Ovis aries: one gene and its partner. The protein of the gene in region 1 interacts with the protein of each later gene in a pairwise test. Links are inferred from orthologs where the notes say so. Each region holds a gene or a part of one and is shown on either strand. Other genes may lie near its edges.

What was found.
Region 2: the proteins of SPG21 (region 1) and FAM114A1 interact in binary tests that used the Homo sapiens proteins (3 or more experiments, as listed by UniProt). The two-hybrid records come from large-scale screens. The link is inferred for Ovis aries from reciprocal best matches to the Homo sapiens genes SPG21 and FAM114A1.

Annotation. Positions count from the first base shown.
Region 1 is NC_056060.1:11,883,948-11,887,602, reverse strand, and holds part of SPG21 (maspardin), read left to right. Parts: intron 1-195; coding exon 196-304; intron 305-971; coding exon 972-1,079; intron 1,080-3,113; coding exon 3,114-3,254; intron 3,255-3,655. UniProt on the Homo sapiens protein: May play a role as a negative regulatory factor in CD4-dependent T-cell activation.
Region 2 is NC_056059.1:58,873,773-58,876,363, forward strand, and holds part of FAM114A1 (protein NOXP20), read left to right. Parts: intron 1-705; coding exon 706-957; 3' UTR 958-2,591. UniProt on the Homo sapiens protein: May play a role in neuronal cell development.

The DNA.
Region 1 (3,655 bases):
AACTCTTTGGGAACTTGAGAAAGCATTTATAAAAACTAGATGCTTCAAAACTAGCTCTTTGAAGGAAGAGACTGGGTTTTTTAAATCTCTAAATCCCAAATGCCTAGTTAATACAGAGATTCAATATTGAATGAATGCTTGCCACTCATGTATAGTCTTGTAAGTTTAAATGTCAGTTTTTTTGTTTTTTTACAGCTTTTGGCTGATGCCATCATTTATGCTTAAAAAAATAGTTCTTGGGAACTTTTCCTCTGGCCCAGTGGACCCTATGATGGCTGATGCCATTGATTTCATGGTAGACAGGGTAAGGATCATGACCTTGGGGAGGGGACACCTTGACCTGGGAATTTTCATGTCTTCTTGGTTCCTGAGAAATACCTGTCTCGCTCAGTGTGTATTAGAGGTGTTTGTTAAGCACTTTTCCACATTAACTTTAATACATCCAGATGGATATTATGGCTGCTGAATAATTTATCAGAATCATTTGGGGAAATTAAAAAAATACAGATTCTAAGGCCTCACACTAGACCTTGAACTGGAATCCCTGGCCAAGGGCTCTGGGAACTCCTCCACTTCTACCTCCCCAGGTCAGTGTGATGGAGCAAGTTTGTAGATATGCATGTAGGAACTACTGGATAGATATTTTTTCTGAGGCCTCTTCCAGCTCTAAGATCACTGAAATGTTTCTCTGTCTTCATTAAGCTTGTGGAATGGGCTTGCTGCCCACAGGCACCTGGTTGAAGAGGCAGCTCAGGTTGAGGGTTGTGGAAGGCCAGGTGCCCAAAACAGGAAAATATCACCACTTCCAGGGCCCAGTTATGGTCTCAAATACATTGTGTCTCCTCAGAGGTTAACTTACTGGCCCTACCACACATAATGTCACCTTTATAAATAGGATATTATCTGTGGATTTAATGTAATTGTGAAAAAAAATTTTTTTGAAAAACTTTTACCTGTGTTTTTTCCTGCAGCTGGAAAGTTTGGGTCAGAGTGAACTGGCTTCAAGACTTACCCTGAATTGTCAAAATTCTTATGTGGAACCTCATAAAATTCGGGACATCCCTGTAACCATTATGGATGTAAGTTTACTTTAAGTAAAACAGATGCTTTACCTTTTTTATATGTACATGTCAAGATCCACCTCACAAATCATTTTACGATTTTTCAGTGTTGCTTCAAACACTGCCTTGAATTTGTTTTTACCACCTGCCCCCCACACAGCTTTCTCAATTTCAAAAAAAATCTTTTATTGCTTATCCTGTATTTTTCCTGGAAGGAATAACACCATTGAAATAAAAATAAATTTAAACAAACATGGTAGTCCTTACCCCTTTTGGTTTGCTTTGCTGTTCTTTTTAAGCTGTTACAAATCTGGGCAGCAAAATGAAGGTGCCAGAATTCCATAAAGGCTAGTTAACACAAAAGCTTGCTTCTTACATGTCTTTTAATTGTAGTAAAATACACATAACAAAATTCACCATTTAAACTACTCTTAAGTGTACATTTCAGTAGCATTAAGTATATTTATAGTGTGGTCCAACTGCCACTGTTATCCATCTCCAGAACTTTCCATCATCCCAAACTGAAACTCTGTACCCATTAAACAATAACTCTTCCTTCACCATTCCCCCTAGAGACCCTAGTAACCTTTGTCCTACTTTTTTGTCTGTATGAATTTACCTGTTCTAGGTACCTCATGTAAGTAGAATCATATAAATATCCTTATGTATCTGGCTTGTTTCATTTAGCATATTTCTAAGCTTTATCCATGTTAAAGCATATGTTAAAAATACCCAGTTATCCTCCAATTAAAAATAAATTAAAAAATTTAAAACCCATTCCCTTTTACAGTTGGGTAATATTGCGTTGTATGTATATACCGCAGTTTGTTTATCCTTTCATCTGTTGATAGACATTTGAGTTGTTTCCACCTTTTGGCTATTGTGAATAATGCTGCTGTAAATATTGGTGTGCAAATACACATTCAAGGGTCTATTTTCAATGCTTTTGGGTGGTGCATACCTAGAAGTGGAATTGCTGAAGCATTTGATAATTCTGTTTAACTCCTAGAGGGACTGCCTTACCATCTTCCACAGGGGGCATCCCATTTTACATTCCCATGAGCAGTGCGCACGGTCTCCAATTGCTCCATATCCTCGCCAATATCCTTGTTATTTTCTGTTGTTTTTTTTTAAATAGCGGTCACCCTAATGGATGTGAAGTGGTATCTCACTGTGGCTTTGACTTTTTATTTTAATCATATAACTGTTTGTCTCACAATAGATTTATTCCTAAATGCAAGTAATATGGTGTTTAAATTAAAAACTGATTTTTATCAGGAAATTATTACAAACGTGTATAATAACTTACCATTTTCTATTATAATTGCTACATTCCAGCATTTACAATGACACAGAGTAAGCTTGTCAATACTCTCAAAGAAATACATGGTCCTCATAGTGCATTTGCTCTGCCCGCACTTTCAAAGCTATGCTCACCACTTAAGTACATGGTCACTTAAAATGTCTAGAAGTTTTAGCAGGGTGGAGACGCACCTATCTTTATTTTCATGTTGTTTTTTTTTTTTGTCTTATTTGAATAATTTTTGCATGAGTTTGAACATAAATTTATGTGAGTATTATAAGATTCTTGAGTCATATATTGCAAACTTCCAACAGTGGCTCCCCCAGGAAAGGGCCTGGACTTTTTATCTAATATTCTTAATTTTTCAATAATTATTTTCACAGAGCATATCATACATATAACTGTTTTTAAATTAATACTAAGTTCTTTTGGGGTTTCATGATCTTTTTGAAATTGGTGTTTTCAGTGATTGTTTTCTATTAATGTTCTGTTAATTTAATTAACTATCTTTGAGGACAAATGAAATTCATGGTAGAATTTTTTTCCCCTAAACAATGCAAAAGACATTTGGCAGTAAAATCTGGGCTTCTTACTTTGGAGTTAGAGTCACTAGGGATGAGCAGAAGGTGGTGGCCCAGGCTTCAGAAAGGTTCAGCCATGTCTCCTGAAAGGAGTGCTTGGGGGGACACTTCGCTTAATGTGAAAAGAACACATTGAAATAACAGTTTTGTCCTCATATTATTTTAAAGGTGTTTGACCAGAGTGCACTTTCAACTGAAGCTAAAGAAGAAATGTACAAACTGTATCCTAATGCCCGGAGGGCTCACCTTAAAACAGGAGGCAATTTCCCATACCTGTGCAGAAGTGCAGAGGTGAATCTCTATGTACAGGTAGGCCCTAGTATGGAACCCAGAGCCCTTTGACCCCAGAGTCTATGGTTTGAAACATAAAGCTTTTTGGTGGTGGAGAGAGAGAACTATAGAATTCTCTGTAGGAATGAAGCACTAACTTGATAAAGGTGGTCTCCATGAATAATTTATAGAATTCAAGCATAGTAGAGACACCTGGGTGACTATCTGCCCACTCTCCCTTTTCTATGAACCACAGGCCTGAACTCACACACTGAAGTAGCCATTTGGTACCATGGAACCTTGACTCCCAGATTCAAGGAATTCAGTCAGGACACCAGACTTAAAATGGAGTCAATCTGAAGTCCCATGACTTCTTTTTTTTTTTTTTAATTTTTATTTTTACTTTATTTTACTTTACAATACTGTATTGGTTTTGCCAT
Region 2 (2,591 bases), on another chromosome or scaffold:
CACTTTACATATATTCATGTTTTGCAAACTGGAATCTGCCAACCTGTTTGCAAGTTATAGTCGAGTATTTTAACTTTGCTGCCAACCTAGAAGACATACCCTAAAACCAAGTACCTGTGCTTGTATTTAAAAGAAAAATAGACAGACTAGGGCTGGGACTAGTAAAGGCAAGTAAAGGTACTTAACCTGTCTACCAAATTTAAGGGGACCATCTCTCAAAAAGAGACAAATAGACAACCTCAGTCATCTAGATAGATGCAATATTTTAAAAATCAAAATGAATACCAAAAGTCATGATGAACAAAATATAAAAATTTTAAGCAAAGACTGAAGCTAACTCTGTCCAACTCAATCTCACTCACCTCCCCCTAATCCCAAACCTGATATAAGATTTGAATGGTTTAAAAGGTCTGAGTTTAAACTTCTAGCTACATGACCTTAAATAACTTCCTCAACCTTCCTGATTCATATTTTCTCATCTGTGAATCAGAGTTATCGTGGTCCCTGCCTACCCCCTAAAATCTCTGTGGAAATTAAATGAGATCGTATAGGGGAAGCACCAAGTATGAAGCCTCATGTATAGTAAGCATTCCACTTCTCCTCTTCTTCTCTAAGAGATCCCTCATAAAGCCAGCATCTTAACACTTTGACAAGCCTTGGAGTATGAGCACCTAATCTGTCAATTTCATACTTTTGATTCCACAGAGCAACCAGAAGGCCGAGGTCCTTAACCCCATGATCAATAGTGTATTGTTAGAGGTAAGTGGCCCCCAGAGAGAAAATGCTTCTGAATTAAACCAAATGTTAGAGCTACACATTTTGTCTTTCTCTCAGACAGCAAGTATTTCTGCAATTCTAAATTTTATCGTCTACAGTCTTTTTTTAGTACATTTGTATAGTTCAACCAGCTGTAAACCCTCGAGTGAAACAACAATACCTAATTTTCAAGAATCCTGATTATAAAGAGAAATGCTAAGCTTGCACATTATTTCTGTCGCTGTTTCCTCCGGCAGAAGCACATTTCTGCTGCCAAGTTTGACACCAGATTTAACACTGTGATTTTTGGCTGCAACGAGGAATTCTTGCTCAATGGTGAATTTTTGTTAAAGTGGGCACTTTCCTCCATTCACAATAACCTTGGGTTTAGCCGGGTCTAAGTTCCAGACTGGCAACAAATGACAGGTAAATATTTAGCATCTGCCCATTCACTAACCAGAGGCAAGATCCTCTGTGACCACTCACTCCATGGCCAGCCCACACACCAGGACATTGTAACACGGACATGTAGCTGCCCCACACAGCTGTGGCTTTGCCAGAAGCAGCAATGTAAAAGAAAAGAAAAGGAAAGGGACCTAGGACGCCTCATTCTTGACCTGTAGGTGCTGTGTTCCATCTGTGGCTAGTGGGGGAAATTCTTCTATTACGGATCAGCCATAAGGAACTGGCACTTCTGTAGCCCCACGGCACCCAGCTGAAGCCGCAAGGTGTTGACAAGTTAAGTTTGAATATAAGCAGTGTATATACAGTGGTTTCTTGCTCTCTGAAGTACCTGTCAAATGCAAAATTTGGAAATTACAAAAGTGAGGGAGGGCTACATATAAATATATAGCAATGCACTTAGGAATTGAGTCTTACCTTTAAGGAAAGCTACCGAGGTACAGGAGTAACAGTGGTGACCCTAAGTGTTATTGCTTAAGACACAGCCTCCCAGAGGGATGGAGTTGACATGCAGGGAAGATTCTGGAGGATAGAGCTAAAGGAAATCCAAGCAATCAGAGGCAGAACATGGAACCTGAGAACATTTTCCTTGGCCACCCAAAAGGCATTAGCAGATGAATTACTGTTGGTCATGAAGAGTATGAAGTCAAATCATTTATTCATTCCTTTGGTGGAAGTTTTCTCCTGTTTTAATTACCTGGAACTTTAAGTGGTCTCTCGTGGAATACTGTCTGTTAGAGCACCCATGAACATGAATAGCAATGTCAAAGATCCAAACCAAGTGGAGAGTACCAACATGAATAGGAAGATGACAGCATTCAAGGATTTGCCGTGAATAATTGCACAATATCTCCAGTAACCCATTATTGTTTATTCATCTGTACATGTTAGTCCCTCAGTCGTGTCTGACTCTTTGCCACCCCATGGACCATAGCCCACCAGGCTACTCCGTCCATGGGAACTTCCTGGCAAGAATACTGGAGTGGGTTGCTATTTCCTTCTCCAAGGGATCATCCCAACCCAGAGATGGAATTCAGGTCTCCTGCATTGCAGGCAAATCCTTTACCATCTGAGCTACCAGGGAAGCCCTTCTTCATCTGTAGGTTAGGACAAACTACAGCCTCTTTCATGCTGTGCTTTTGTGTTATTTCAGGGCAGTGAGATTGATCTGGAAAAAGGATAAGTAAGACTGGACATAATGGGTATTGACTATACACACATAATATACCCTAGAGTTTAAGTGTTAGTCACTCAGTCATGTCCAACACTTTGTATCCCCATGGACTCTGTTCATGGGATTCTCCAGACAAGAATACTGGAGTGGGTTTCCATTTCCTTCTCCAGGGATCTTCCTGATACCAGGGATCAAACCC